Arabidopsis thaliana: one gene and its partners. The protein of the gene in region 3 interacts with the protein of the main gene of each other region in a pairwise test. Each region holds a gene or a part of one and is shown on either strand. Other genes may lie near its edges. The genes, in order: NAC090, AT2G31730 and AT1G76510.

What was found.
Region 1: the proteins of AT1G76510 (region 3) and NAC090 interact in a two-hybrid assay, tested with the Arabidopsis thaliana proteins (one large-scale study listed by BioGRID).
Region 2: the proteins of AT1G76510 (region 3) and AT2G31730 interact in a two-hybrid assay, tested with the Arabidopsis thaliana proteins (one large-scale study listed by BioGRID).

Annotation. Positions count from the first base shown.
Region 1 is NC_003076.8:7,405,584-7,415,567, forward strand, and holds NAC090 (NAC domain containing protein 90), read right to left. Parts: upstream 4,520-9,984; 5' UTR 4,456-4,519; coding exon 4,296-4,455; intron 3,981-4,295; coding exon 3,694-3,980; intron 3,602-3,693; coding exon 3,341-3,601; 3' UTR 3,176-3,340; downstream 1-3,175. Other genes in the region: VAMP714 (vesicle-associated membrane protein 714), read right to left, coding at 1-71; QQT1 (P-loop containing nucleoside triphosphate hydrolases superfamily protein), read left to right, coding at 1,004-1,095, 1,403-1,447, 1,523-1,602, 1,693-1,767, 1,857-1,960, 2,048-2,204, 2,297-2,384, 2,484-2,556 and 2 more.
Region 2 is NC_003071.7:13,483,899-13,494,566, forward strand, and holds AT2G31730 (basic helix-loop-helix (bHLH) DNA-binding superfamily protein), read right to left. Parts: upstream 5,782-10,668; 5' UTR 5,441-5,781; intron 4,794-5,440; exon of another isoform or gene 4,698-4,793; 5' UTR 4,696-4,697; coding exon 4,579-4,695; intron 4,470-4,578; coding exon 4,404-4,469; intron 4,327-4,403; coding exon 4,261-4,326; intron 4,175-4,260; coding exon 4,130-4,174; intron 4,053-4,129; coding exon 3,885-4,052; 3' UTR 3,652-3,884; downstream 1-3,651. Other genes in the region: AT2G31720 (B3 domain protein (DUF313)), read right to left, coding at 1,136-2,077; AT2G31725 (FAM136A-like protein (DUF842)), read right to left, coding at 2,549-2,731, 2,806-2,943, 3,365-3,493; AT2G31740 (S-adenosyl-L-methionine-dependent methyltransferases superfamily protein), read right to left, coding at 7,155-7,358, 7,479-7,629, 7,719-7,885, 7,993-8,067, 8,142-8,222, 8,315-8,439, 8,521-8,770, 8,992-9,040 and 7 more.
Region 3 is NC_003070.9:28,705,387-28,718,324, forward strand, and holds AT1G76510 (ARID/BRIGHT DNA-binding domain-containing protein), read right to left. Parts: upstream 7,563-12,938; 5' UTR 7,348-7,562; intron 7,125-7,347; 5' UTR 7,113-7,124; coding exon 6,717-7,112; intron 6,580-6,716; coding exon 6,446-6,579; intron 6,344-6,445; coding exon 6,304-6,343; intron 5,927-6,303; coding exon 5,874-5,926; intron 5,794-5,873; coding exon 5,679-5,793; intron 5,468-5,678; coding exon 5,375-5,467; intron 5,011-5,374; coding exon 4,888-5,010; intron 4,801-4,887; coding exon 4,752-4,800; intron 4,668-4,751; coding exon 4,604-4,667; intron 4,331-4,603; coding exon 4,264-4,330; intron 4,079-4,263; coding exon 4,028-4,078; intron 3,813-4,027; coding exon 3,720-3,812; intron 3,637-3,719; coding exon 3,545-3,636; coding exon of another isoform or gene 3,541-3,544; exon of another isoform or gene 3,407-3,540; coding exon 3,295-3,406; 3' UTR 2,953-3,294; downstream 1-2,952. Other genes in the region: SOB3 (Putative AT-hook DNA-binding family protein), read left to right, coding at 146-1,054; AT1G76520 (Auxin efflux carrier family protein), read left to right, coding at 9,998-10,135, 10,243-10,322, 10,397-10,521, 10,612-10,733, 10,824-10,973, 11,047-11,139, 11,233-11,333, 11,454-11,692 and 1 more.

The DNA of each region.
Region 1 (9,984 bases), on a different chromosome or scaffold from region 3:
TTTCCCGTAACGGCGCTGAATTCAGCTAATACCACGGTACCTCTCGCTACAACAGCATAGACAATCGCCATCGGAGAATCTTCAATTAGAGTGATTCGATGACAGAGAGTGGAGATCACGCGCTCCGGCGGCGAGAAAGTTCAACGTCGGCTTTGCTGCGATCAGAACAGAGTATAAAAATGCGAAGTTATAAGGTTAGGTGCAAACGTTTCGAATATAACCCCTTGTTTTATTGTTACGTTTTTAATTGTCACCTAAAATATTATTTTGTTACATTTTAAACCCTGATGCATCGGTTTACGGTTTACCAATTTATTAGGCCTTGGTAACTTATCCGAAAACAAACCGACCCGAAATTCACTTTTCGGTTTGGGTTCGGATACTCCAATAATAACTTGATCGTTTCCTTCTTTTTAATTTCGATTATCCGGTTCGGTTCGAGTATAGCACGAATAAACCGAATTAAAATTAAAGCCCTAATTTAAATATACCGATCGAGTCTTCGGCGAGCTTACTTCGCCTTGAATCGAGTCTTCGACGAGTCTCCGGCTGCGAGTTTCTCTTGCTCCGGCAAACAGACCTGTCATTGCTTCTCTCTCCGGCTAACTACACAGGCGAGCTTCTCTATTTATTTTCTTCTGTGTCTCCAGTTGCTTCTGATATAATGAATATGCTCTTGAAGCAAATTGTTTCTCTGCTTCTCTTTCTCCAGTGAATTGTTTGTTGTATTATAAACGAGGTTTAGGAATTGGGTTAATAATATTGGAGGATTGTGTTTGTATTCTGTGTCCGACGAACAAATGACATTTCCGATTTCTATTGTGCTACGAGCTCAGTGTTTAGAAGGGTTTTGATGTTCTCTATTGAATATTCATGTTATGTTAGTTTGATGATTAGATGATTTTGCTTTGCAATTACTGTGTTTTTTTGTCTGACTGGCTCTGATATTATACAACGTGTTTGACTCCGATTGGTATCAATCTTCTTCTTCGTCTTCAGAAGCATGGTGTTTGGACAAGTAGTAATAGGTCCTCCAGGATCGGGAAAGACCACTTATTGCAATGGAATGTCTCAGTTCCTCTCTCTAATGGGCAGGTTTCATGTTCTTTCTCTTCTCTTCTCTTTTTGGATCAAAGAATGAAGCTTACTTGGCTTTTGTATCTGTAATTCTGTTTGTATTGATTGTTTCGCTGTCCCTCGCATTGTAAAGTTTACAAGTTGCAAACTTTAGTAAATAATAGTGTTGAATTCCAGAAATTTGAATTGTCTGACTTTTGAGCAGAGTCATTGTGAAATGTTGTTGCCTTGTCTTTGTTTTTGGTAGAGAGATTTGCAGATTCGTGAGAACTTCTCTGTAAGTAAATTCTCTTAACGTTGAGTTACTATTTTGTTGTTGTTGCAGGAAGGTTGCTATTGTTAATCTGGATCCTGCAAATGATGCATTACCGTATCCTTTTCAAGCCAAATACAACAAAATTGTTAAAAATTGCAGGTGTATGTTGTTTCTTGACATTGATTTTAGTTATGAGTGTGGTGTGAATATAGAAGAATTGATCAAGTTAGAAGATGTTATGTCGGAACACTCGCTTGGTCCTAATGGAGGTGAATTTTGCCATCTTGATTTTCCCTTTTCTTCTTACTTTTGATTTTAATCTTTGGTCAAATTAACAAAGAAACTTTCTAATGTGACAGGTCTTGTATATTGTATGGAGTACTTGGAGAAAAACATTGACTGGCTGGAATCTAAACTAAAGCCTCTTCTGAAGGGTTAGCAACGATATGTCCCTTCTTCTTCTTCTTCTTTTCGTGGTCATAATATCTCTTTCTTAAAGTAAAACGTTTTGAATTGTTTGCAGATCATTACATTCTCTTTGATTTTCCTGGCCAAGTGGAATTGTTCTTCATTCATGACAGTACCAAGAATGTTCTCACGAAGCTGATTAAATCATTGAACCTTAGAGTATGTGCTTTACTTCACTTATTACTAACTTGCTAAATGAACCTTACTTAGGAGTCTACATATCTGATGAATTTCTTTGTTCTGCAGTTAACTGCTGTGCAACTAATTGATTCCCATCTATGTTGTGATCCCGGGAACTACGTAAGTTCGCTACTTCTCTCCTTATCCACAATGCTTCACATGGAACTCCCACATGTCAATGTATTGTCTAAAATCGATCTGATTGGAAGCTACGGGAAGCTAGGTATTAATAATCTATCTATGGTTTTGTTCTCATAACATCGAATTTTCAAATGTATACTGTGGACTCACTAACTAGGATCTCTGTGCATGTAGCTTTCAATTTAGATTTCTATACCGATGTTCAAGACTTGTCATACTTGGAGCACCATCTTAGTCAAGATCCTCGCTCTGCTAAGTACAGGTTCGATGTAAACATCATCTGAATACACATTGAACGGTTAATAATTATCCATTTAGAAGCATGCTCAATATCTCATGAGCTTGATGTTTCTCATTGCAGAAAACTAACAAAAGAGCTATGTAGTGTCATTGAAGATTACAGTCTTGTTAATTTTACAACCTTGGATATTCAGGTTTGCGATTTCCTTTACCTCTCTCTCTCTTTCTCTCTGTACAAGCATCTTTTCGCAATTTTCTTTTTTGTTTTCAGGATAAAGAAAGTGTTGGGGATCTAGTAAAGCTCATCGACAAGAGCAATGGATACATATTTGCCGGCATTGATGCAAGTGTGGTTGAATACAGCAAGATTGCAATTGGTCAAACTGATTGGGATTATAACAGATATCCTTTTTTAGCATTTTGGATTTCTTAACCATTACTTCTCTCAATAACTCTTGAGTTTAGTTTTACGTCTACTACAAAAGAATTGTTTCTTTGACGATAGTCTTCACAGTCGCAGCTGTACAGGAGAAGTACATGGAAGATGAGGAAATACAAGACTGAGAACAGTGCTTGAAACTTTATATAGAAGAGAGCTGGTTTAAAATATCTCTGAACCAAACCATTTGACGGTTTGTATGAACCTTTTTGTGTATTTTTGAGTTCGGTTTAAGTCTAAACAACATTGATTTACACAACTTCCTGGTTTGGTTCACTGGATTATGCTAATTTTCCAGACGACTAACTTTCTGCCAAATTTTGTCTTTAGACTTTTGAGTTTCTGAATCACACGTGCCCATGACTCCAACATTCTCTAGAAAACATCTCAAATGTCACTGTCTAGGTCATTTATTATTTCTCAAATTCTCACGTTACAAGGTAAAGAAAGAAAAAGAATCTTTCGGGTCATAAAATTCAAACTAACAATAAGCAATTGAAACAAGTTTAAATTTGCTTGATTATAAAATCTATATAGCTTCAAGGCCAAGTCAGCTGTTCCCAGTCCCACATCGGTTCTGATAGTCCATCAACAAACTCTGTGTTCATAGAGACATCAATATGTTCTCCTCCTGAAATCGAAGTTTCCAGTGAGCTTTCCACACGGAACGATGTCTCAGCTACTGCAACATCACTTGTTAGCATTCTCTCTGTCTGCAAAACTCCCTCAGGACGTCTATCAAAAGCTCTGGAGCTTCCTGTTGTTATGTAGACTCGACATAAACTGAACTCACGTCTCAGCTACATTTTTCAAGAAAGCAAAAACAAAAAATCTCGTTATTAAAAGTAACAAGAATGTTCTAATTTAAAAGTTTTTAATTATATGCAAGTACCTTAGGGATTGTGGAAGCGTTGACTGTTTCGTCAACGGCGTGGTACTCATTCATTTTCCATTTAGTTTTTCTTCCTGTGGGTGCTTTTCCAGTGTAGAAAACCATAGTTTTCTTTGCTCCAATCATTTTGTTGTCTTTGGAAAAGACTGGACCAGGTGATCCAGTTGCTTTCCAGTATCCTGAACCAGTAGTTCTACTCGGTCTGCCTCCTCTTGCTTCGCGTTCTTGTCGTGGCACGAAGAAGAACCATTGCTCAGCGTCTCCTCGACATCTCACTCCAGCAACATCTGCAAAATTGTGTGAGTTTCATATATAAAAACATTACGCATATATAGTCTTTATGGCATTCATGTATTTTAGGGGTGTTCAATCTGATTATACCAAACCCGAACCAATTCAAAACCGACTAAACCGATCTGGAATCGGGTTACTATTTTCGTAAAACAAGAAACCCAAACACCAAAATGGAGAAGTTTACGTGCTATAAAACCTAACTTTGTATGATGTCCTAATGACTCTCAAGTAATATTAAGATATGACGATTTTGATGCCATAGTAGATATATATATCGACAATTCAGGTGAGGTTAACCGTTAACGTACTTGGAAGATGACTAGGCTCGACCTCAAAGACGTCAAGTACGGGAATGACACGATGCATTGAGTCATCACTCCTTCCTTCGAGCTGGTTTCGTAGGTAGAACGAAACCAGTTCTTCTTCCGTGGGATAGAAGCGAAACCCGATTGTGACCTCATCGGCCATTTTTGTACGATATTTTTAACAACAAGAAACACTCTAATTAGTTGTAGCTACCTATATTATTAACTTAGATGCCATGGATTCATTGTCATTAAATAAGAAGTAGAGATTGGTTTCTCCGAGTGAAAGGAGAAAAGTTCTCTACGCGTTTTTCGTTTTTTTTTTTTATTTTATTCCCTTTTTGTACGGATATTGGTAAAGACAAGGATGTTTTGTGTGTGTGTGTTTGATTACTTTCGTTGTTATGTGTTTACTGTTTAGTAAACTTTTTACGAGCCACGTACGTCCATTGAATGAGTCAAGCATTCGTCTTTGCCGTCAAGTTTCAGTCTCTTTTCCTTTAGTTTTCCTATCTTTTAATTTGGCTTGCCAGTTTTAGTAAATAGTTTTTTTGAAGCAAACTCAGATTAGTCATAGGTTAGTTTTCTAATGCCTAATCAAATTGTCAGAGGACAATAATCTTTGTAATGAGGTTCATTAAGGAACATGTAATTTCTAGTGAAAGTATAGTAAAACTGAAATAATGTATGTGTAACAATTCTCGTCATAATTTTAGTTAACTTTATTTATTTACATAACAAAAAAAAAACTGTGTAAGTATATAACAAGTTGAAAATAAAAAAAAAGATGAAGAAGACTTTGCCTTGGGGTATTTTCGTTAATTCGTTACATAAATTCGGCCATTTGCAAGTACATTAACGTTATCATGGTACATTATCTTTTATAGATGCAAATTACTTTCCAAAATTTAATCATTGAGTATAATTACACTAGATGACTTTTTAAATACCAAGATACTTTGTAATGTACCACATAGATCTGAAAATTATAAATTTTGAAGATATTTGAATGTAAATTCTAATTGTTCACAACTATATATTGACCATTGAAAAAAAACACTTCAATTCCTTCCTCTAAATAACAAAAGTTGATACACTTTAACAAAAAAGAAGAAGACTATATATGCCCCATAGTGTATTTTGAAAATCTCCACATCATATATGTGCAAGTTAGAAAATGGTAAATTTGTGTATTTTCTCAATCTAGGTTAAAATGCTTCCTATATCGACTAGTTTTGTGATACCGATTTCGAGACACTAGATAACGATTTTTGTGTACGGTATTCTAGATAATTATGGTACTCATGTACCAGTTCGGAGAATAAATGCCACTTTGGTTAGGTTCGTCTCCATGACTAGTAGAGTATTTGCATGCATCACTAATATTAAACTTAACTGGGCACATAATTTATATAGTTTGGGGGTCCTCTCTAATTTAAATCACTAAACAGAAAACAGATAGATAAACCAACCAATACGAAAACTAATCACGCACCGTTATGGATTGTTAGGTAAAAGTGGTCAACATCAATAATTCGTTTTAAGTATGTTGCGACCTTAATTAATCTCAACCGTACCTTTACTTAAAAAATAGGTCAACCCGAGACTCTTTCTTCTATTAATATGAAATTCATTACAGAAATGTCAAATTCACTTAAAACAAGTTATGTAACAGCCCAACCAACGAAAGTAAAACAAGTTTTTCTTTTTTGGCCAAACTACCAAATTCTTTTTCAAGTGTTTTCAGGAAGTACAAACATTTGCTTTAAAGAAATGAATGATCCAAAACTCAAATGCGTTCACAGATAAATTAAAGATCTAGCTAAAATTGTTATTTCTCCAGTTAAAACTTAAAGTGTTATAGAGTGATAATTTTGGCAAAAAAATATTTAACACAATTGGTACTGTATCAAAATTGTGACAAAAAAATCGTGAAAAGCAAAACTAAAAAGGTGTATGGCCGTTTTAATTTTAGTTGAAAAACATTACCGGAATAAAACTTAATCGACATAGAAGACGAACCTATTAAATTATCATTCCTTATAATTTCTTATATATTATTTAATATTGTTTTTATTAGATTGAAACTTTAGAAGCTGGATTGATATTTAATTTTATTTGGTTTCTCTATCAAATCACCAAAATAAAAATCTCGAAACCAAAAACAAGTTTTGACAACCCGACAATCCGTAGACTTCTTTAAATTTTTTTAAGGCAAGTCAAGAAGAGCAAAAAAACAAATCCATGGAGCCAGAATATAATCGAACAACTAAATCTTATTTACGACAGAATTGTCATCATACTAATACTTAGGTGTCTTTTCTTGTGGTTTGCATAGATTTGAGACTTGGTCCGCTCTCATCAGTACTCAGTGGGCTAATACTAATACAAATGAATTACGTAACGTTTTACTCTTTTTAGAGCATTTAGTTATGTCCCATGGCCATTTATAACGTGTGATTATTATTTGTATTTCTTTTTTTTTGTCAACTTACGTGTGATGTTTGTTAATTTTAATCAAGTTTTCTGTGATTATTCTTTTCGATCATATGTTATTCTTTTGTTGCATGCGTGCAGCTGAAGTCCGATATATTCCTTTTATGTCACTGGTAATATTGTGATTATCATCATTTTCTAAAGGGATCACGTATAAACTATTTTTATAAGAGAGCCAGAGCTTATCATCCTCTTACATGTTCATCGTTTCACAATATGGTTAAGTTTTGATATCAATCTTTATCTTCAGTTCCAATATCACCAAAAAAAAAAAAAACGTAAAAACCAGAGACAATCCGATAAGACTTCTTCAACGAAAGACAACAAGGTTCTTATCTTTTTCGGATTCGGGACTAATTAAACACACAAATAGTTTGCCCTTTTAACAAATAAACACTATTCCGCTATGGGTTACTCTTTTTTTTGTGTTCAAGGATTCTTTTAAGAGAATATTACATTCTATGGCACTTTTAGAAAAGTATGTACGAATTTAGACACTTTGAAAAGATAAGGCACTTTGTCAAACCAAATTGTCCAATTTACCCTTTTTAACTGCAAACTCATTTTCTTTTTCATATCTTCTCAGCGTTTCTCCATCGTTTTTATTTCTCTATTTCCAAAACCAAAATCAAATCTTTTACTAAAAATCAAAGCTCAAAAACGAGGGCTTTATCTTTTAATCTCCGACATATTTGCTTTGATTCCTTGCGATGATTGTTTTTGAAAAGCTAACCAAGATATGATGGCGTTATTGGTGGTGGCGGTGGCGGTGGCGGAGGGAGCTTTATACCTTATTCGTCGCTTTGTTTGGTGTCTCTCTGCTCCTAATTACTTTGGTATCTCTGATCTACAAAACTAGAAAGTTCTTAATCTTATTCCACATCAGATCTATAAATTTGAGAGTATTGTTTCTGATTGATTTGATTTCCTGAGAGTAATCACTTCTAATTCAAAGTCAAGATGAAGAAAGAAACGAGAGGTTGAGACATGATGAAAATCAAAGTAACTTTTGTGAGTTTATGACGTTATACAATCGATGTATATTTGTTGAATTTCTATTGAATAAAAATTTGTAATTTATGGCAAGGGACACATCCTTCTCTCTTCTACCTATTACAAATGATTAATATGGACGTATCAAAGTAAACTAATGGTCTTCATTGAGAGTGTAATACAAATAAGATCTTCGTTACATTCTTTATAAAAGCTATGTAACTGACATTGTCCTACTGATGGAATTGTTTATACACAAGTGAATAAATGGTCAAAGAAAAATGGACAATGTACTTTGGATTGGCGTTTATTGGTCATGTATAGACTTGTTTATTGGTATAAAAATACCATGTGAATCATTAGATAACCATATGGACTAGACTTCTTGGACTGTCATCAATGGATAACAACTATGTCTTTGATTTGCTGTGAATGTGTTTATAGCTCGGTAAATTAGCACTTTATTTTGTTTGCGCATTCTACAATGATACATCATATGGTCATAACTCTAACCATTTACAAGAAAATTGTAATTGATCCCTACAACTATATGGTCAACATAGAATGGTCGCTAGTGGATGGCTACTTGTAAAGGGTTAGAATATAAACCCAAAGCATCGTAATGGACATAGTTTTTGAAATTGGTGATTATTACTTATGCTTTCTATAGAATTTGTGTATTTTTGATTCTACAGCGGTGTAAACATGGTTGTATGGACTTGGGGTGATGGATAGGAATTATTGTATATTTGACAGGGGGAGTCGTTATATATTTTAGTAAACATGAGATATTAGGTATCCTAGGTTTCAACTAAGTATCTGATTACAAACTTGCTTTTTGGTTAATTAACAGAAAATGAAAGCAATACACAAGAGGAACATAATCACTTAAGATGATTGTAGTTTTACAAATATATTCGTGTAGAATTTGATTATATGAGCCTTGAATGAATAAAAGCAGACTTATACATTAACTTTGGTGTAGAATGGATATGCTTAGTAAACAAGTTTCCGTATGAACACATTTAAAATGGACACATTATTATAGATTTGATAAGAATAACAAATGCAGAGAAAGGATTACGTGAAGGAAAGAATGTTAATAAGATTTTGGGTTTTAGTTGGTATGGTTTTGTCTTTATATGAAAGCATGTTTGATGGGTCTCGTTCTTTTGTGTAAGTAATGTATTGTTATTGTAGATATTGTGTTGAATAAGAAAAAGACGCATGATTTGTTTTGACTAAGTTGTGATTATTGCATCACCATGACACGCTTTTTCATTCGAAAGAAAATTGATGAAAGCTCTACACGTGAATTATTTGTGTTCAAGTGTTTGTCATGTTTCACCATTACTCCACATGTTAAAGTCTAATTGGACAAGTTATAATGGACACAAACTATCATTGACTAATTGGGTTTTGAGTGTTGCTATTTGAAAGCAATGTCTACATATTGTTCTTGGGGCTTGGAGACCTATAGGATTATTAGTTTATATATAATGAAATCGTGTTGGATGCTTTGATAGTTTATCTCCATAAAAACTTGTCCAACAAGATGTGACCATGTGGAAATAATTTATTCTCATGTGCGAAGTAAAGTGCTCTTAGCTTAGAGGTTAAACGAAACATCAATTTATCAAGCTAGAATCAAATGGTACCAAACAAGTTGATCATATGGATATGAAATTCAATACTGGAATTTGCCAATCTGGTGCTCCATAGAAAAGAACAGAGTAACGAGGACCTCGCATCTCTGTAACCCTGTAATATCGAGGTTACTCCAAACAATTTTTGTTCTCACGGAATCTCTTCCATGTACGATGCCATTTCTTCTTCTTTTTCAAGAGAGAGTTCGAATTCTCAGATCGAATTTCAAAACCCAAATTAAGTAAGTCGAGAAACGTCCCACGTTATGTTATCACCGCCTCTCTCGTCGCCTTCTTGCAACAGATCTGAAACAAAGGAGAGTAAGGAAAGAGGAACTTTTGATCTGCAACCGATCTCATCGTCTTTACAAACACAATTTCGCTAATATGAATAAGATATTTACACAATCTAACAAAACTCTAAATTCTATTCGTAAAATTGAAGAATCGTCGCAAAACCTGGATCGATTGGTTGTAAGATTGAGGGAACAAATCTTCTTCTTCTTTCACCTCTAGATGTTACTGTCTGCTACACTTGAGCTTCCGTCGTTGGCCAC
Region 2 (10,668 bases), on a different chromosome or scaffold from region 3:
AATTACCATCCATGTTAGGAATGCACTATCATACGGCAGACCATGTCTTGATGGAGTTATGTCCGGGGAAACCAACACTCAAACTAGTTTCTATGTTTTACGCTAGGATTATTTAGTATGAAAAACTTGCATGCCACGACAATAGAGCAAGAGTCTACAATAAACAGAGATTAGTCACATAGCACAACTGTTTTGGTTGGAATCTCTAGTTACAACCGGAGATGGATGTCCAGCTCTGTGACGGAGACCAGTGAGCCTCCTCCTATTTGCCTCTTGCACAACTTCGCCATGAACATATTGAGCTACGGAAAAAGCTAGTTGAGTATTCTTCAGAGAGCTCAGCAGAGGAACATGGCTTGGCTTCTTATCGTGGCTCATAGGTACGTCACTGCAGTCTACCTAGAGGACCAATTGGGTCAAAGTTATATATTATTTCTGAATTGATTATGTGAGATATATTCATGTCACTGTCTGTTTACTACATTCTTTCGTTATATATATAATTGGTGTGTTCCGACTTCCGATCTTACGAGTTTATATGACTTTCGTTATGTCATTGACTGGTTTGTTCCGATCTTACAAGTGGGAAAGAAAACTTGCCAAAAACAAATATCATCCGTTCAAACAAAAAGGAACTATATAAGGGATGAAAATCAGCACAATCTAAAACAAACTCGTAATGTTAACACTAACACTCAGTATATTGAGCTAAAAGACCCAAAAAAAACACCTAGATAAAAAGGACAAAAATCCAAAAAAGCCATCTTCGAATATAGTTTGAGATGATCAAGAACACAAAGATTTAAGAATAACTCTCTTTATTAGTTTAAGAAATTTACTCAAAACTTAAACTCTCAACTCATAAGTTATACCACATGTTGGTATCTCCTTATATAGAGATCTCTTAAACAATCCTAATCCTAATCCTAATAGAACTAATATTTAGATAACTCATAAATATTGTTTAGATATCTCCTAAAGTTTCTAGTCCTAATCTCTCTAGGATTTAATGACTTAATTGTCAAGTCATATTCAAACTTTAACTCAACATCGAGTGTCTGAAAAAAAAATACTTGCATGGCAAACCTCGGCAGTAGAGCTAGAAGAGCTGTTTTTTGCTGCTGGAAACTCTTAACTACAACCGGAGCTCGAGGTCCAGCTCTGTGTCCGAGACGAGTGAGCTCATCCTATTTGCCTCTTGTAAAGCCTCGAGACAAGTCGTCTCCTCGCACAATTTAGCCAATAAATTTAGGCACTCAGTCGGAGCTGGATCTGGATCTGAAAGAACGAAGGCGAAAAAGAGCATGTCTGGGGAGTGGAAGGACCAGATCCGAAGCCTAGTGCCTCTCTGTAGAATGTTATCGGTGACGACCTTGTTCCATCCTAAACCTAAGACGTAGTTGGAAGTGGAAGTCATATCCCATCTCTTGAGCTTAAGCTTCCTCTGTAGACCCTTAGAATTCACCACGATCACATCCGCTCCTTTGTCACTGGCACTAATCTTTTTGTGATGTCTATCTATTTTTTCTAACTCTTCCTCGTTTAAGAAGTCCATATCTAGTATCTGCTTCCAGGGCATCATAAGACGTGTCTGAAGTTCGTCGACATCACTATTGGGAAGAACCTTCACAAATATCAGCTTTGCATCCATACCGTTCACTTCTCTCATCACGTCAATCAGCCATTCCGTCGGTGTCCTATCTTCATCTGTCACTATAACCGGCTTTCTGTTTCTTACCGGTTTGTTTGAAACCACTTTTTGAGGCCTCTTGGACTCTAGATGGCACGAACTTGGAGAAGAAGCAACACGATTAGGGTTTTGTTCCGGGTCTTGATTCTTGCACTCATCAATCTTCAGTCGTTTGCTCAAGCTGGAATTCATAGTTGTGCTCAGACTGTAATTAATTAATCTTCTCAGTCTTCTCAGTCTCTCCCTCCTTTTATCACCTTCAGTGGATGTTTCTCCTATTTCCTCATATGCAAAAGCGCTAACCGTTCTCTCCGTCGCTACACATAAAATATCTAACGCTCTCTTCCCTCCCTGCAAACCATTAAGTTGATCATCTCCTCTCACCATTGTTATAAAAAATAGAGAGACAAGAAGAAAGAGTTAAGCGGCAGAGAGGAGTTTATAGTCTTGCTTTTATATGATTCTGATTGTCAATTCCTTTCACAAACGAACAAAGGTATATATAACTCTCTATTATTTTTTATTTTTTTTTGTTAGTGATAATCTCTATATATTTTTATATTAGTTTTAGATATTCACTAAATTACTTGCTTCTATTCTATTGGTTAGTCTCTTTTGTTCGGTTCAATCTTTAAATTCATGTATTTATCCTCAATTTTTTTTTATAGAGTTTTAAAGTTTTCGCTAGGGAAGATGAAGAACAAGCAAATACAGTTATTCCAAAACAGTGGCAAATTTTAAAACTTAATATAAGAAAAAGGAAAACAAATTTGTAGATCATATTAAGACAAAAGAAAAGGTCTTTTCAAACAATATGGCTAGTCAAGTTCTGGAATCCAAGGTTTTTCACGAGAGCTTTTAGTTGGTTATGTTAAATGCTGTCTTCATTCTCTGCACAATATGTGGTAATGTATTGAGATTTTCCTCAATGGATTTGTGCACACAACTCTCCATCTCGTTAACCGCTTCAGGCCTTATCTTCTGGAGCTTTGAGGCCTCAAACTTGTCTTGACACACCACCAGTGATCTGTTCAATCTTTCCTATACATTCATTCAACAAAAATCAGTCTTTATACACAGCAAACTATGTATCATCTTTTAGCAGATATCTTTACCTGAAATTGAGCCATTTCGTTCTCGAAATACTGTTGAGATTTGACAACGGGAACACTGCAGTGCTCGACGCAGTTACTTATCTCCTCTTGCTTTCTTCTTCTATCAAAGCACTCATATGCACATTTGAAATAAGCTTGCTGCAACAATGATATCGTTGTCAGGGTTTAATTAATTTGAATCAACGGATCATATAACTCAATATAGCAACCCAAAAACACAAGAGAAGGTGTTAATAACTCTCATGCTTCTGAAGACAAAGCAGAGCAATTGTTATGCAACGAGACACGCCTACTTATCGAATATCCTACAGAGCACAATATAGTAATTAAACCAGAGCAATTGTCGTGAACCTAATCCATAGTGTCTAAAGACGAATATAGTACGAACCCAAATGCAAATTTTCAGACTTTTTTCATGAACCTACTCAATTCATCAAATTTGAAACTAGCATTGTATCAAACCAATAAAGATTCCATATTCAGAAGCTAACATTGCTAAATTGTTATATCAGAGAGAATTTATGCTGAGCTCGCGAAAAGTACAGATTTTTGTATATACCTGAAGGGTGAAATTGATGTGATCTTGGATAGGAGAAAGCTGAGTCTGAGCAGCTACATTAACTTCTTCAAGCTTTCTTCGAAGTCTCTCCGATACGATTTGCTCTTCCGCCGCAGCGATGTGATCCATTGTCGCCTTCTCTGTTTAGCGTAATTTTGATTTTAGGGCTTTAGGGTTTTAGCTAGCTGCTCTCTTCAATAGAAGATCCTTCAATAGCCGCAAACAAAACGGGTTTGACAATTTTGGGTCGGGTTAAGTTTCCCGGGTTTCTCTAAACCGGTTAACTCTTTTTCACCAATTCAAACTTTATTAAACAGGAAGCTAATTCCGGTCATTGACCGGTCCGTTAAACTTCGCATTAGAATCAATTGTTACAAGAAGCCACCACAGAGTTGGGATTAAGCAGTAAAAAATAACAGAAACAGCCATCACCGACTTCAAGGTCTCTCCATCAATACATGATCAGACCAAAGCTTTGGCTAATTTTCATTAGTCTTGAGACAGAGAATTTAGCAGCAGCTCATTGAAAGGGCGAATTAGAAGACGAGAGATTAAAAGCATGAGAAGATGTTGGAGTCTTCACAGGAGCCCAAATATCAGCACCATTGGTTTGAGCAACTTCTGATGTATACTCCAATGGAACAAGACATAGCCCTTTACTTCTTAAGCTGTACTCTTCCACTTCCTCCTAGTTACAGAGATGGAAAATATCAGTCTTGCATTGTGATCCAAGTAAACGAGATCCAGATCATAGATTCAGCTCACCTCTGTAGTAGAAGGGGTTGCTTGCAGATAAGGAGCACTTAGAACCTGAACAGAGAAAATCAAGCATAATCATCATTGGATTGGAGGAGGTGAATGAATGAAAAGTATTTGATTAGAAAACTTGAGCAGACCTTGACTTGTTCTTGAAGAAACTGAATGTATTGCATTCCCTCTAGAAGAACTGATGCAGTGTCGGTCTGCATAGATAGAGACTTGAACATGGCTAGAGAAGACAAAGAGCGTGTAAGAAAGATTATTTCGGACCAAGTAGTACCTTTCCGTAAGGGGAAACTAGTTGTTGAAGAGCTGAAATACGTTCTGCTAATTTGTCTTTCCTCTCCTGTTTAAACCACAGAACAACAAAGTTTCAAGATCATTAGCATGCTGGTACAGAAATGTCCGGTAGCTTCATAGCCACAATGAATTTTGATTTTGATGTATCACAAGACCTTGGAAGAGAAAGAGAGATCAGATGACTTGTGTCGTTTAATTTTGTTATCTTCAAGCGAGTAGACATTGCGCTTAGTCTCCATCATCATCTCTGCCGAGTCTCTAGAGTATTCCATTCCTTGTCATCAAACAAAACAAAAATGATCGGTTTTTCGACATAAGAAACCGGTTTACTTGCTACCATTTATAAAGATAATCTCATGGCTTCATCCAAGGCAAGTTGCAGAAAAAAACATAAGATTACAACTCAACAACTTGCTTTTGCAAGCGTCATAAGGACAAAACTATACGCCTTGAGATATTCTCAGACCAGACAAACAAAGTGGTGTCTTGGTTTTAACATCAAAATTAGATGTTAACTACTACAAATTAAGGGATGCAAATCTAGGTTTGGACCAACTAATGCATTGGAAGATACGACTTTTGGATTAGAAAACAAGAGCAATGGTCAAAGAAAGTAGATAATGGTCAGAGGTTATCCATATAAGATCACATCAGCTTAAAGTATTATTTAAAGTTTAGTAGCACAATCATAGATGTTTAAATATGATATCATACTTTGCTTCCATACATAGACAATACATTGTAGGATGCATGAAACTACGGAATTAACTCATTAATTTAGTTCATCTAATGAGCAGAACTAGTTAATCATTATACGTGTTTTTATTTTGGATCGAGTTAGCTCCATTAGACAAGATTCAAAGCTAAGCAAACTTCAATAGAAAAACCCCACAAGAAGATGAGAACAAAAAATACCAAAAGATTCATGATTTTATTTTGCCTTAAAATACTCTAAGTTAAGTCAAAAAGACCAAAAATGGGGAACAAAACAGAGTAAATGAAGAAAAAAGAACTTACAGAGAGAAGAGACTCAGCATTTGCCAGAAACAGCAGACTAACCAACAAGTAACTTCACAAACTCTAAAACTTCTTGGTCTAAGCTCTCTAAATGGGTATTTATGTCACCCTAAGCACAAGACACGATGAAACCCATAAACGAGGATCTTGGTCTCTCTAGTGTATATATATTTTTACTTTCTTTTGTCTTCAGGTCTTGAAGAAAGCCATTAATGAAGCCGGAGCTCCAACGGTGACACGATTCCAGAGGTTTGTGTTTGGATGAAAACGGCGTCGTTACTTAAAGGGTCGTGAAAGAGAGGAGTTTTAGTTTTATGTAGAGAAGAAAGCAAAGAAAAGAGGGGACTACGTTTCATATGTCTTTTTCTTCATTTTGTTTTTCCTTTCGTCCTCTTCATTTAATTCTCATTAAATCTATAGATTTTTTTGTGAGACAAATAAATTGTTAGAATATATAATCGTAAAACTTTATTCTGTTTAATTCAAATCTCTTAATCAATCGAAACTATATTATATGTGTTATTCAGTACTATTTGACGGTTAGGAAATAATTACTATAGTAGTAATTAGGAAGTAACTTGAAGAATTTAGTTTAGTGTATATATTTGGAGTTAGGGAATGTAATGGAAATGTAAAAATTTGACAGCTAATGTACAACCAATGGTGAGAGAGGTCCTTTTACCAGTCCCAGATAGAAGTCGCTTTCATTATTTTCATAATAAAATAATAAATAAGCTAATAATTTTGAAAGTGACATTTGATTGTTTTTTATGTAGTTTTGTCAAAATGATTTTGACCAATTCTTCTGCATCTGTCACTTCTTTTTCAACTTTGTGCTTTTTCTTGTTTTGTTATCCTTTCTTTGAAATTTTCTACGAGGGAGGTTGGTTAATGCAGCGTACCCTTTGGTTGATATCCGAGTATATTCACATTTTCAAGTTTCAACGACACAGCTTTTTGTTTATATGGAACAGAATCTATCTTCTTTTGTTTCTCCAAAGTAAACAGCTAAATACTAACCCAAAATTGAAAAGCATAAACAAATAGTTGAATCTAACCAAACAAACAGAAAAAACAAACCTAACTATAACTAAAAGGCAAAAAATATAACAACAATATTGATTACATGCAAAATATTTGAAATGTTTACAAATGTCCAATTGATCAGCGTTCCATATCGGACCCACGCGGTTTCTGAATTTGTTTCTTTGCCACAAATGTTTTTCTTTTGTCTTCGCGGCGACCAGATTTTGGTTTAGGTGTTTCAATTTATATCTCTCTTACGTACGTACCAAAATCGGCCTGTATCAAAGGCTTTCTTTCCCAAATTACAATATTACAACCATAATTATTATAGCTCCAATGAATAAACAGCAATTATGCTAATCACCATTCGAGCATTTCTTAGCAACAATAAGGAAGATCACTCAAATCAGAAACAATACGGATAGTTCCCAAAAATGCACAAAATTAATCAAGACATTGATGTTTAACTTACATTCCAACTTCACTATCATCCAAATTGAATGCTTCAATAAGTTGGTAGGTCTAACAATCATAAAGGTTATGAAAAAAACTCCACGCTTCATTTTCCATTTGCGTATGGACGAAACTAGGTGTATTGTATATAATATAGTCTCAAAAATTTCAATCTTAACTTATAACAGAAATATATCTCACACGTCTTTTTAAAACGAAATAATAAAGAATGTTTTTATTTCCAGCATTTCAGCTTCTTTGTAGCGTCTATGATGCTTTGCTTCGTTTCCAATCTCTGGCACTTGAGCAATCCCTCCAGTATAACTGCAGATTCTGGAATATCGTTCTCGCTGATTACAGATTCAGAGCAAAGCCCAAAGAGCACTACGTTTACGTCATCTTCCTCTTCTAGTTGCAGGCCAAATAAATGATCGAAAACCTTGGCAAAAAACAAAACAATAGAGATCAATTCTATGACTCAATTTCCGTGCAATAGTATCAGATCAGATTTGTGAAAATATGCAGAGAATTTACAAGGAATGAATCACATTTGCTTTACCTTTTTCATTCTTGATACTACCATATCTTTGACGGACTGTGATCTCGTGACCAAATTCACTATGAAAAGACCGTGCTGAGGGAGAGCTTGCTTAACCGAAAGAAGAAATGTCTCTTCGATAAAATCAGATGCAGGGCAGGTTAATCCGCCGCTGCAGACAAGAGATCAAACAAGAAAACAATCAGGCTTACCATGTGGGTAAATTCATAGATATGTGAATTTACTTGCCATGTCTTTTACCTTGAATCTGCTGAATCCACATCTATAATTAAAATGTCAGGACAAATTCCACCTTGTGTATTGTGAGTGGTTGAATCTCCATTTGAGCCAATGTTTGACGATTCCTCAGACGAAGCTTCAGAGTTTGTTATATCTCTAATGAATTTGATCCCATCAGCAATATGCACCTATTATAAGAATGCGAACGAGCTGAGTGATGGTGCATATAATAGAATAGAATATAAACATGTTAAAGTTTAGCCAGCACTTTTGTTGTAAAGAGGGAGAATTTTACCTTCAAGCGATCATTTTGTGTGAAACCAAAGTAATCCTTGCCAACACTAAGCATTACTGGGTCAAGCTCAACCGCCTATTCAACAGGATACAGAATATGAGTGGCAATAGAAAATACTCAACTTGATTAATCCTTTAAACTGAAATTACCTCAATACTGAAAAATGGCAAGCATCCATGGAGGAACATGGGAAGTAATCCTGCTCCAAGACCAATTACAACAGTCTTAACCTGAAAAGCATCAGAACATTTCTGGATCAGTACAAGGCAAAGAAAAGATTCAGATCGGTTGCACCGTGAGGCCACAACTTAATAATGCTCACCATCGTTCCGCATGACTCAGCCTTCTTCAAGTAGGAAGATACCAATGTGAATCCAGAAATAATTCCAGTGTGGTAAGAGCTAGCCAGATAATCATGAGAGACCCTCATAAGAGGCCTGCTCGGTTCTGAAATGGATACATGTAAAAAAGATCATGAAACTTTTCACCTGAAATGTATCAAAACACTTACAGAAGTACGATTTTTACCTTGGTTTTGCTTTTTATTTCCCTTTCGCTTCGATTGGGAAACATTTTTAGTTTTTTCTTTCTGAGACTGTTCAAGAATCTCACCATCCTCTACAAGCAAAGCTTCAGACTGTATCAAACCCTCAGTCCTTTTGAATACAAGTCGTCGAAATGCCAAATCACTAGAAGTAGACAAGTCTTCTAAATTACTAGGAGCGCTTTCATAAACCACATCTTCAACAACCACTTTCCCAGTCATAGGAGATGTAACCTACAAATCGAAATGAATAGTAAGAAACAAAAAAGATCCCCATAACTACGTATTCTAACCAATCAGTAGTATTAAAATTTGCTAAAATAGTGGTGGATAAAAGTCTAATCACGGAGATCAATAAAGGAAACGATGATCATATTTGTGAAAGGCGAGAAATAGAAGAGACAACAAATAACAGTTTTATTAAGTGATTAATTGGGTATATCTAGTAATAATACCTCGTGGACAGTATCACGCTTTTTTATCCCATCACTTGCCATCATATACCTACAGCACCAATTCAATTCAACTACTAATTAACAAGCAATAATGGCGGAAACAAAATGAGTTAGGATTACTGTTGCACCAAAAATCATGGAGAATATAGTAAAAAAAAAATCCGATAAACATACGGAATGCGAGCTTCATCATCATTTCTGGGAGCTAGTTGTGTCACCATTGGAGATAAATCATTCTGAGATGAATAAGTTACCAGATAAAATCGATCAATAAGTAAACAACATAATGCATCAGACAACTCAAAATGTAGATAGTACCTACCTGGATATCCTCCATGGTGGCTCCACTATGGCTACTGTCGAGAAAAACCTTCATCAAGAAATTAAGATGTGTTTAGAATCTCATGCCGAAAATAGATCACGGTAACATGGTGTATATAAAGAGGTTTTACCATAAAAAGCTTACCATTATGAGACGAGCGGCCTGAGAACTCTCGACAACCTGCCACTGTCCTTCTTCTGAACAGAACAGCCACTCATGAGCACGAGTCTGAAATTTAACACTCCTTTTAATAGATCAAACAAAATTAAACAATATATTCACAGCAATTTCCAGAACTTAAATATTAAGGATTTATGATGTTGACAAAGCTTACCTTGGGGACAAGAAAAACACCACAATAATATACAAATGGCTCAGTTTGTTTCTGAGCATCAAGAAGCACGGCCCTATAACTGAAATTGCTTCCTTGGCCACCCAAAGTAAATTTTATACGGCGACCTTCAGTAAGCTCTGCCAAATCTCCTTTAATACCAAGTTTCAAATCTTCATGCGAGTACAATAAGTCTGAGCCATTATTGCAGTCTCTACGTATTTTGTTCTCGCTCTCGACGGCTTCACGCATGCCAGAACCCTACATTGTAAGTCAGAATCATATATTACACTGGAGAATTACACAAGTGTTTTAAAGAGCTAGAAAAAATCGATATATGAAGGGAAAGGTGGTTGAATTTACAATTGTGTTAAAGTCAAACTAAACAGGAAATAATTACCTGACTATCATTGCGGCCAAGAGATACAAGTTCGAAAGCAGAGGTTATCTCATGCAACAAAACGGAATTTTCCTTTTCAGCCACCACCATATATGTCTTAAGCTTCGAGCGTTTTTGAGCAATTGAATGAACATTCATCTTCCAACCAAAACGAAATCTTGAAAAAAGCAATGCTGCGCAAAAACACTAAGAATGTCACTAAAACAGACAATAGAATGAAGATAACAATAACTATGAAATAGCTTCACATAATAATAATAACAGAAGCAAAGGTGTTGGAGGTGTACCTAAGACATGAGACTCCGCCAACGTTAGACAAATAAACTTCCCCCCAGGTTTCAAAACCCGCTTGGCCTGAGAAAAGAGTTACTAATGATCAAACTGAATCAAGCTCAAGCATTTAAAGCACATAACTTTCATTGTTTGATCCAACACTCATCCAATTTATGCAATCCCTTAAACAAAAGAAGTTCACTAAGACCTCTGATAAGTATTGATTTCCCAGCTTGGTACCAACTTCTGGCTCCATCAAAGCATCAAGAGCACCTTTATCTAGAACCGTATCAAAAGACTCATCAGCCAACTGCGTAATAGAAAAAGTAAAAATATTTAGTGAATGAGAGA
Region 3 (12,938 bases):
CTCAAGCTATTGGCTCCTCACCTCCTGAAATTTGACTTCTCCAATGGATCTCAAAGTTTCTCTTATATGAATTCTATCTTCACCCTCACAATATCTTTATATATATGAGCCACAAGAACAAGAAGAGTCAGTAGATGCGGCTGCCATGGACGGTGGTTACGATCAATCCGGAGGAGCTTCTAGATACTTTCACAACCTCTTCAGGCCTGAGCTTCATCACCAGCTTCAACCTCAGCCTCAACTTCACCCTTTGCCTCAGCCTCAGCCTCAACCTCAGCCTCAGCAGCAGAATTCAGATGATGAATCTGACTCCAACAAGGATCCGGGTTCCGACCCAGTTACCTCTGGTTCAACCGGGAAACGTCCACGTGGACGTCCTCCGGGATCCAAGAACAAGCCGAAGCCACCGGTGATAGTGACTAGAGATAGCCCCAACGTGCTTAGATCTCATGTTCTTGAAGTCTCATCTGGAGCCGACATAGTCGAGAGCGTTACCACTTACGCTCGCAGGAGAGGAAGAGGAGTCTCCATTCTCAGTGGTAACGGCACGGTGGCTAACGTCAGTCTCCGGCAGCCGGCAACGACAGCGGCTCATGGGGCAAATGGTGGAACCGGAGGTGTTGTGGCTCTACATGGAAGGTTTGAGATACTTTCCCTCACAGGTACGGTGTTGCCGCCCCCTGCGCCGCCAGGATCCGGTGGTCTTTCTATCTTTCTTTCCGGCGTTCAAGGTCAGGTGATTGGAGGAAACGTGGTGGCTCCGCTTGTGGCTTCGGGTCCAGTGATACTAATGGCTGCATCGTTCTCTAATGCAACTTTCGAAAGGCTTCCCCTTGAAGATGAAGGAGGAGAAGGTGGAGAGGGAGGAGAAGTTGGAGAGGGAGGAGGAGGAGAAGGTGGTCCACCGCCGGCCACGTCATCATCACCACCATCTGGAGCCGGTCAAGGACAGTTAAGAGGTAACATGAGTGGTTATGATCAGTTTGCCGGTGATCCTCATTTGCTTGGTTGGGGAGCCGCAGCCGCAGCCGCACCACCAAGACCAGCCTTTTAGAATTGAAAATTATGTCCGTAACATAGCTGTAACCAAATTTCATTTCTCAAAATTAAAAGAAAAAAAAAATCATCTTCATTGTTTGGGGATCGTTTGGTTTTTAATTTAGTTGATCATATATGAATATTTGAATTCGTCTTGAGATGATATACTTCTCCATCTGCATTTTCTCTTCTTTTTTAATCACTAGGGTTTCGTGCTGTCCCTATATATTATTTGTTATATGCTTGAGTTCACAATAAAAGTGCTATTAGAAGCCAATTTTTATATATCACTTAGTTACCTTTGTAATTGGATAACAAAAAAGTTATTGAGTACATTTTATAGAAATATTGAAATGGCTCATACTTGTATATATCATGGATGTGGTATGTGTAATCCCCTTTTTGAGTAGTTATCAAAGGTAATCACTCAATCTATGTTACTATGTCTATCAAGTAATCAACCAACAAATCAAACATCTTGTTCTTTTTAATTCATCTAGATACCATACATGAATCTTCGAGATTTTATGATTTGAAAATCTCTAGATTGAATATCTTGTTTACGCATGGAATCTCTGATTTAGTACATGTTTCACCCAACTGAGTTCTACATTGTATTTCGATGAGATCAATATGAATATTTCTTCGTTTTTATCAATTAATCACGAAAATAACGCGTTAAGAATCTACCAAAAAGTAAATAACGCTTTAGAAATTTTACGAAAAACTAAATAACTATTTAGAATTTTATGAGTTTGTTTTAAAGACAGCGGTTACTGTGATAATTGCATACTATATTTTTGTCGATTATAAGAAAAGATTCGCCCACCCGTTACAACGATATAAACATGATTTTTCGACGGTTACAAGTTAATGGCTTAAACACGAGAACATTACATGACCTGCCAAAACCAAAATATGAAAAATTTGTCCCAGAGTTTCATTTATCAGTTTCCTTTTAGAGGATTAGGAAAGTCTATAACAACACAGCCAAGTGGGGCTTTAAGTACAAAGATGTGTGAAAATGAGGAATGCATCAAGTCCCTAGGGAAACTATGTATGGACCGTATGAAAACGTATATTTAAAAAGAAAATCAAGTGAAAGGAAAAGCTTGTACATGACCAATGCATGTCCAAAGGAGATTTGTGGTGAAATATCTTCAATGAGCTTCTAAGAGAAGACAGGTGACATTTATGTATATAAGAAATGGAGTCTCATCATGTTTACTGTTATACAATGAGAATGAGAGATGGTTTAAAAACCTCTTATTTTCATAATTTTCATATATTTGACATTTTAGGGCTTCAACCATGTAAAGAGAATAAAGGGTAATGTACTTTGAGACCTTTTCGATACATGCACTGTGACTTTATCTTTTTAAGATATCCATGTGCTCATGTCAAGTGCCTTACATGCAGTTGAGCAACGATTGGGTTAAGAAATCTTGTTCATTGTGTGTTTTATACGAACGGCTGATAAGTAAACGTAAATGTGAAGGTTTCCCTATATATACGAATTATGATTGGATAGATATATAGATCCTTTAAGTAACATATGTTCTACACTATCTAGACTACTAACTATTTTACACCCAAAAAAGAAGAAGGTCTACACTATTGTGTGGGCCATAGAGCTTGAAGAACATATGTTACTTAAAGGATCATGGTTCGAACTACAACATTTTTAAGTATGATTTGTTATTGTAATTGTTTTACATGAAAATAATATCATACTTTTTCATAAATTCTGAAGATTGGTATGAATTCGACCAAGAATCTCACGGTTGTAAAAAGAGAGAACTTAAACAAAAATTGTATACTATAGTAGTATAGTCACATATTATTAACTATTACAATAGAATGTTTTGCTAATTTTTGTCTGATGTCAACAGAAAATAGATAAGCATGAATATCTAAAAATCACAAAACGTGTTAGATGTAAATATATAATATTGGGTCTAATGCAAATTGGAAGTTGCAATAATATGTTTAGTTTTTTTCTTCAAAAAAAATTTTCTTGACTTTCCTCATCATATATATATATATATATATGAATGCAATTGTGGATCACGAAAGCAACACGACACATCTAAGGCCTAATTTTCAGGCCATTTAACTCAACCCAAAAGCTTCCAGCCCATAAAACTTCAGTACTCTCCTACAATAGGAGCCATTTAACTTGATTGAACTATAAATTGTAAGTTTTCTTTATGTGAAACCTGAAACTGAAATAAACAGAGAAAACAGATGAAAACTTCATTTTCTAAAAGATATATACCAGACACTGTGATTGTTGGTTGCATACTTGAAGGTATAAGGAACAGCTTCCTTACTAACTTTATATGGAACATCAATATTCATTTCTCTACTTTAATATTCAGAACTCAAGTCACAGTCAAACTATCACATTTGCTATCGTTTGTTTTTAGTTCTGATACAAACGAATTCCTAAAAGAAAACAAAGAGACAAATAAAGAACTAGCTCACTTGGGATGAGACCGGTCACTGCTCAAATGGGACTCGCACAAACAGTCGACCATGCAGGCTCACAACCGCTGACGTGTGCAGCGGATCGATTCTTGCGGGAAAGTTCACAACCTACCATAACCAAAATCGGAAAACAATTGACAACTATCCTTCAATTAGCAACTAGGGCTCTGTTTGGAGTGTTAGAATCTAACCTTTTTGAAGGGTGTGATTCCCCAAGGATTGTCAAGTTGCTCAGGTTGGCCTGCTATAACTAGCCGCCCTGCAGGGTCTGACTGAACACGGACCTGAAAGAAGAAATCAACTTATATTGAGGAACTAGATTCTGTGTGCAATCACACAAAAAATTACTATGAAATTCATTACAACGGACAACAGTGTGTGTATTTAGATTCGAATCCAGTATATGTTCACATCTATGTCGTAGGAATCAGTAACACTCCAGTGACAAAACACTGATCAAAGAAGCTTTAGAGATTGAATTCCAAGGAGAAAAGCTCACCTCTTCGCGAAGAAGTCCAGGTACCAGGGCAAATATCTCAAAGCAGTCTTTCTGTAAATAAAGACAACAAAAATAAATTTGGTAAGATTTCAGATTCAAAACAAAAACCCAGATTGCAGTTATTTCCCTTTCTTCAGGCAGTGTTGTTTTTGACTTTTTTTCTTTCTCATGTCTCTAGTTTCAAGAGTTGGGTAAGCGTTGCATTATATGAGGGGGGAAGCGGAAGTGGTACTCACAGTTTCTCTGACATTGATCTTCACCCAGTCTGCAGGGGGTCCAACATCTATAACCTCGGCAGTTGACCTATCAAGCCAAAACCATATTATCAATCTTTTGCTCTGATTATAATAAACGAAATGAAAAGACAAGTTACAAAATTCTCTGTATTCATTTAATCTCCTGCGCTATTTCTGAAATGGCAGTTCTTACAACTACCACCCAGAAAACAGTGCTTGTGATCTACCAAACATTGACAATGCAGGGTTTTTCGATGGATAAGATTGTATGGAATTGCACATGGTAAAGCAATCTTGCATAAGCAACACAAAAATACAGGAGATGATTATCTTTCGTAACTGTTTTTCTGATTCGTGTGAAAAAACAAGGTCCATGCCGGTTGTTGTTTTTTGTTTCTGCACACCTGAAAAGAACATTTATACACGGTGGCATTAGGTAATCATTCTGTAGGTAGTGGAGAACAATAGCCATCGCTTAGGAATATTACCAATGTTTTTGAGGTTCTTTTGCTTTGGGGTTGAATTCAAGCCTTTCTCCTGAAAATATATGTACAAACAGAATCATGTTGAAGCGTAAGTTTGTGCATGGTGAATTATGAAACGTGGTAAGGTCTAAATAGAAACCTTAACAATAGGCTCAGTAACCTCCCCAGATCCAAGAAGGCGCTGAGAATGCCAACCTTGCATAGCACGAGCTGCAGCATCTCTTCTTGTTCTGCCTGACCCTGAAGCTTGATGGCTACTTGCCTACATAAGTGCCCTTATATCAATGAGAGAAAAAGGGAAGGCATATAAAGTTTAAAATTCTGTTTTAGGGAGCTTAAATTGGTAATTAGCTGTGTTGTGTACATATTATTTCTTATGTTTCCCATATAACACAAAACGGTACAGCTTTATTCAATCAGATTGCAGAGAGTAGTATTCAACATGTTAAGCTGATATTACTCATGCCCGAAATTTCCATCTGTATAAAATGATTTTATAAAGAACTGCAGAGCTTTCACTTTATCTAATTTAACAACATGGTTTACCTACTCTTAAATTGACCTCCTCTCAAAGTGTTCACCTACCCAAAAGCATAAGAATTACACAATTTCATAGGAATTCTAACCTCCTTTTCAATGCCTGAAGACGGAAGAGAAGCTGAACCAGGAAGGTTAAGCTCACCATTTTGCCTTAAATGCTTCTCATACTCCAAAAGTGCCTGCGGTTGGAAATAAGGATACAAATAATGAAATTTCCACATCTTGATAGGATAGAAATCAACCAGACTCCATGTTAGGAAGGAGTCAATCCAAATAAACTGTTAGAAGGCTACTAAACCACGACATAAATGATAACGAAACCAGCTAGTCTCAGACACACTACTGACAAAAGGAGCAAAAGAACATTGTCTGAATCGAACATGTATGAACTAAACTGAACAAGTACAACCTCATTAATATCAATGCATATTCAGTACTTAGACCAAAAATGAAATTCACCTTTTCATAGAAAATGCGGAATGTCCAGGAGACTGTAGTGCATGTTCTGAATAACAAAAATGTGGAAAGTCAATTTCATACAAGAAAGCGGAAAAGGTTGAAGATTGAGGACAATACAAGCCATACTTTGGAGGATGGAACGATTCTCCAACTTGCCGCCATAGCTTAGATGTGGTGACCTATATAAGAAAATGAAAATCATAGGAATTTTGAATACCACAGACATAGAGTTTCAAGCAACGTGGGCGGTGGGATAGATTTGAGTATAAACTTTCAAACAGAGTAGATGACACTAAGCAAGTTCAGTTGCCAAAACACAGACCTAACATAATTAACACATAACTGCATTGACTTAATTATTTCCGGAAGCCATTCCTTGTTCTTAAATCATCTTCTCATTCATTAGCTATAGTTCACACGTTATACAACCCAAAACGTATAAATCGCATGACCTGTAGATAATAATCTAAAAGATTTTTAACCTCCTAAAGGGGAAGAGGGAGGAGAAGATCTTAGTAAACATAAAATCATTGGAAGTTCGAAAGTAGATCATTACCACATCGTAGCCACCTAACTTGATAACGGCTCTCCAAAGCCTACATTTCAAAGTAAAGCATGCAGACGTTATCACGTCAAACAAGGCATAACCAAAAGTATGGAATTTTCCAAGAATTAAAGCAACACTTCCAACAACTCACTTGAGACAATTTAAGGGCTGTCCGTAAAACTTTGGGGCTTTAAATTCCAGGAAATTCTCCTTGTTGAAGGCCTCCACTTCTTTAATAAACGCCTCTTGATCCTGTGGTGCCCCTGCTTCATCAACTTCCCTGGCCTGTATAAAAACGTGAACTCGTGATGAAATAGAGCCACTGTGATGACCACAGATCTCACAAAAAACAATATTCAACGCTTAACGCAAATGCAGGCAGACTAGTTGTCTGAAATGTGACAGAAAAGTGCTCTCATCACCTCAGCATCACTCAACAACCATGTCTTCCACTTCTTAACACTTTCTTCAGGAACATGAGGACTCGACGGATCCCCCTTCAAAGGATTTGATTCCCCAAGTGTTGTCTCCTCTTGACCGCCATCACTAGTAATCTTCTTTTCAGACTGATCAACATCACCATTCCTCCCATCAACACTGTTCTGACCACCAACCTCTTCATTAGCCTCAATTTGATTAGCAATGGGAGCATCAGATAAATGAACATCACTATCCAAAGTATGAGTCGTATCCTCTGGAACAGGGGACTTAGGTCTTTCAATAGAGTTTAGGTCTTTCTCTAGTTCTGAAGGCTCCTCTACAACACCTTTGGTACCAGACGGCACATCTTGCTCTTGCATTTCAGTATCCGCCATCATGAAGCTAATTCTCTGAGACATAGCATCACAACAACAACGCAGAATTCAAAATCCAGAAATCATAAATAGAAACGCACTATTGATAATTCCAGAGAGAATGCAAGACGCATGTAATCGAGAATTGGAACGCATCAAAACTCTGAGTCCTACTCTCTCACTGATTCGCTATAATTCAAACAGTGATGGCGACTAAAGCATTAGAAAGCAGAGCTTCACGAAATCATGGAGTACATACATAGAAACAAAAGATACGGTTACCGGTTTCGCCGGAAGAAGAAGACGCCGGAGACGGTGGAGTCGTCGCGGGTTAGGGTTCGATAGCAGCCGGCGAAATGGAAGGACGCCGGCGGAGAAAAAGAAGCGAGAAACGGAAAGATATCAATTAAACGGAGAGATATGCAGATCAAAAGATTTATACGGATGATATAATGAACACATGAATTCATTAAGAAAGAAATTAATGCTTGTTACTTGTATTAACTCTTAACGAAGATCTTAATAGCAAAACTTATTAATGATATTTCAGAAAGTTGGACTTTTACGACCCATTTACATAACAAAGCCCATTATTGTAAACTATGGGCTCAATATGTAAGGTATATTATGAATATAATCTTAGGCCCAATTAAACACGGAAGACAACGTAGGTTTCTGCTTGTCTCGATTGTTGTTGTGTTTTTATTTGTTACTAAAGATAGAGAAAGAAATATCGAAGCATTGTGCGTTCATGTTCAATATAGAGTTTTTGTTGTACCAAAAAAATATAGTGTTTGAATCTTTAATTATAGACTAGCTAGCATATAATTAACGTGATTAACTTTACAATTATGGTGATGATGATTTTCTCAGTATGTAGGTATAGTACTTGTCAAAGTGACAAATAATTGCAATTTAATGAATTGGTGTGGATCCAAAGGATAACAAATAGTATGAGCATATTCATTCGAAGCAAAATGGTACAGAATTAAGCAAAGCTTTTTGTCCAAAATTCTAATGAATTAAGGACCATTATTTTTAGGGAATAATAGTCTTTGATGCCCCACATTTCCAATAGTACAAATCAAGATTTTCAATATATGTCAAGTTTGTTATTTTCATTCACGGACATTAAAACGAGTGGAGCATTTCAATTTGACATATCTTTGTCCTTTTCTTTTTGTTACAGATATCTTTTGTTCACGTTCTTTGAATCATCATATTCATAGCTATGAGATCATAGAAATATCAAATACTGTTAATTAACCTCTTTAAAAATACATATTCACAAGTCTCTTGTGTGAGTAGAAATCCTATACAAACAAGTTTATTCATGCTCTAATAAGATAGATAAATAAGAAGATAGCTCATGACATGGCCTTCATTAGGCTTGTTGCATATACAATAAGCTTACATATAAGGAATTAAGGATGGTCTAATATCTCTTGCTTCACATGAGAAGAGTTATAGGATTCGAGTCACATAAGAGATTTTTATTGTAGTGTGTATAATATATCCCACTTCTACAATTATCCAGTCTATTGTGTATTTTTCATTAATAAATCACTAAAATTTGCACTTTGACAATATATACTTAAATATTTGTATCTCGTATATATATATATACATATTTTTAGCACTGTATGATAATTCTAATTATTCGCTAATTGTTTTTTTTTGGTAAGAATTAGTCGACTATTTTGATATTGGGGTTGTTACATTTATATCTTGCATTGAATTTTATGGACGGACACTGGTCGCAGCCTCACACACTAATTTGAATTTTCCGTTATCATTAATATTCGATCGTTTCGTTGGTACGCTTCCATCACACAATTAATTTAAGCCACCACACTATTATCTTATTCTCATTCAGTTTTGTTTCCATTTCAAATTTCTTACGACGCATATGAAAATGTACATTTTTATAACAATTCCCCTTAAAAATAGATGACAAAAAGAAAAATGTTTTTTTTAAAAAAATATATAAAATAAAATAAATAATAAATCTTCAACAATCGATGAACACTTTGCAATATCTCCACACCTTGGGCAAGAACCAGAAAAAAACATGGGGCACGTTTCGTAGTCGATGTGACGAAAGGCATGACGACGGTTACCATATAAATTCGTCTTCTCAGATAAAGCCTTATTATTCTCAATAGTGTTATACGACAATATACGAAACAAACAAAGACCCCGCTTGAGTTGAGTTTTCCAAAAATTGTGGAACTGTTTCCTCTTTCTTTTTGTACATAAACTAGGTTACAAAAAATTGGAAAATATACAAAATCAAAGGACATAAACTTACGAGATATATCATAACTCATAAGTTGTGAAAGTTGGAATTCAAAAAGGAGCTAACTATGAATCTATGATACGTTATTTTGTTGCTTATACGGAACAAAACAATTCCAAAAACAAAGAAGATGTAAAAGTCTGACCCGGATCATGCGGACACCAAGTTGTACATACAAAATATGTAGGATGAAAATATGAAATTCTCTTCCCATATGCATAGAATAATAATTTACCTTAGTTAAAAAGATTAGTTTCTAAGTTTGCCCCAAATAAAGAGATTAGTTTCTTGAAAAAAGCATTTTGTGGATAGACAAGAATTTAAATAGAATGAAGAGGCGACCATGCAAGTGTTGTACTAGGCCAAATTTTGGAGACGCTCTTTCTCTTTCATAGAGAGAGAGTGAGAAAGTTCTGATACGGCGGCTTCTCACTGTCATCTAGCTGTACCACTGACGATAAATCTCTCTCTTCCTCTAAATCGGTTAAAAAATTCATTCCCTTCTTGGATTGCTCTGTTTTCTTCGGCGGTTCTTGCAGCTCCATTGATTCTCTGTTTCCTCTGCTACAGTTAACTTATACTTGCAGATTCTCGCGTTGATAGTAAAAAGATGGTGAAGCTTTTGGAGCTGTTCATAACTTCATCAAAACCAGTCGTTGAGATTCTGTTGATAACATCAGTCGGATTTTATATGGCTCTCGATGGAGTCAATCTTCTTGGTCATGATGCTCGTAAATATCTGAACAACGTCAGTTAATTATCACTTAATTTTACTCTTTTCTTTAATAAATCTAAATGATTCAACTTTAATATGTCTCTGTTTTGTTATCATTTTCTTGATGTGTGTGTATATAGATTGTCTTCTATGTGTTTAGTCCTTCGCTTATTGGAAGCCGTTTAGCTGATAGTGTTACATACGAAAGCTTGGTCAAAATGTAAGTCAATCTCAGATTTTGCATCTTGAGTCTGTAATCTTTGCTCTTTGGTTAATGAAAATGAGGATTTGCAGGTGGTTCATGCCGGTGAATGTTCTGCTTACATTCATCATTGGTTCATTACTTGGCTGGATTGTTATTGTCATCACTAAGCCTCCTTCACACCTTCGTGGTCTCATTCTTGGTTGTTGTGCTGCTGGTAACAAACCTTAACATGAATGTTTCTGATTTCAGAATCTGTTTAACTTGTGTTTTGCTTATGACTGTGGTAATGAATGAAACAAAACAGGGAATTTGGGGAATATGCCACTGATTATAATCCCAGCTGTTTGTAAAGAAAAAGGAGGTCCCTTTGGAGATCCTGAGAGTTGCCAGAAATATGGAATGGGTTATGTTGCTCTCTCCATGGCTGTAAGTTCTTCTTCTTCTTCTTCTTTGTCTTCTTCTTCTTCAAGGTTTTGTAATCAGTATGTCTCATGACAGTACTTGGTAACGTATCAGATGGGATCTATTTACATATGGACTTATGTATACAATCTTATGCGTGTGCTATCGAACTCTCCCGTTGAAACCCCTCCCTCTGTTGAATCCAACTACGACAGCTACAAAGTTCCCCTTATTTCTTCCAAGGAAGAAGAAAACAACCAAAAGGTTTCATCACATATGCACATGATCAGTAACTATTCATTTATCAAAGTTGGTAGTGACTGTGTGTATATGACAGGCTGGGAGGTGGGAAAAAGTCAAGCGGAGATTGGTTTCACTGTCACAAAAAGTCAACCTTAAGACAATTTTTGCTCCATCAACTATTGCTGCGGTTTGTGTTTCAATGGCTCTGTTTTATACATTTGAGACGTCACTCACACTAGTGTAATCTTTCTAATTACCCTTTTTGTTCTTCTGTTTCCAGATGATTGCACTTGTGATCGGGCTCATTACTCCTTTAAGGAAGCTAATAATCGGCACGGAAGCTCCTCTCCGGGTGCTTCAAGACTCAGTAACTCTAGTGGGGTAACTGCAGCTAAAATTAGACCATTATCTTAGCATTAGCTCAACAATGAATCATCTCTTGGAAAAACGTAACTCACTCATTCGAAAGCTTCTTATGTGTCTTGTTTCTTTTGGCTGAAGAGATGGGGCAGTTCCTGCAATGACCATGATTATAGGAGGAAACCTACTCAAAGGTTTGAGGAGTTCAGGAATGAAAATGTCCAGTATTATCGGCGTCTTGGTTGCGCGTTACGTTTTACTGCCTATGAGCGGTGTTTTAATCGTAAGAGGAGCATATAAGTTGGATTTAGTTACATCAGAGCCCTTATACCAATTCGTTCTTCTTCTTCAATATGCTGTCCCACCAGCCATGAATCTAGGTTCATTGCTCTGAAACCAACTCTTTAAAAAATACAGTTACTTCTTTCAGATAAGATCACTTCATTAGTTTCACTTACTCTTGCAGGTACAATTACTCAGTTATTTGGAACTGGGGAGAGTGAATGCTCAGTGATTATGCTCTGGACTTACTCTTTGGCTTCGATTGCACTCACTGTTTGGCCAACATTCTTCATGTGGCTTGTAGCTTAGAATAGACCCCCATACTCATCATGTTACATGTATTGTTTTGTTCCATTGATTCAAGAATTGTTCTTGGACTTCCAGATGATTGGATCAAGTATAATAGAGAACATATACTTATAAGTCTTTTGATACGAACTTTGGACTTACAGTCTGTAACTTACAGATAGAAGATCAAGTCCAGCCTCATCAAGAATCTGCTATTTTGATCCTCATTGTCTTGGGATCCATCAAGAGATTGTGAGGCTTAAAATCTCTGTTATGATACCCAAATCATTCTCTCTTGAAACAGGGTAAAACCAGAGAACAATCTACTTGACTACTTGTGACTGTGGCCATGGCAGAAAGCTATTCCTTTGTTTAGTTTGGTACACCTGAGAAAAATTTCAGATTGTTACATTTGGTTTAATAGACTATTACATATCAGTCAAGTGAGTACAAATGATGAGAGAAAAGAGTGGTGACAAAAAGCTCTAATTGGTGGATTTTGTGATAAATTTCTTTACATCTGTGTCCATGTATCTCAAACCTAATCGTACTCTAAGATCAATTAATGTCTCATCACGTCATATTTGAGATTTTGATGTATAACCTTCCACATCAGGGCTAAAGTGCATGCTAGACTCCAAGATATACTATATGTAATATATAAATTTGTAGCTAGTGAAACTGTGGAAAAACAAAAATTATAGTACTGAAACATTTTAGTTTATGAAACGATTCTTCAGAAAATAGATGACAACAACAGAAGTTTTTTTAAAATCAACGTTATTGTTCTTTACCATACGGTAAACACAATGCGACATATCCACATCTTCAGCAAGAACCACAAAGTAACATGGCACGTTTCCTAGTCGCTGTGACTAAAGGCATGACGATGGTTCCCTTATAATTTGTATTCTTTTTTTCTCAGATAAAGAGTTGGTGGTTATGATACGTTGGTTTTTTCATACGGAACAAAAATAATACTTACTCTATATCTCTCCTTCACTCTTCCTCTAAAAAGGTAACTATACCATTTCATTTGATTTCTCCATAAGTTAT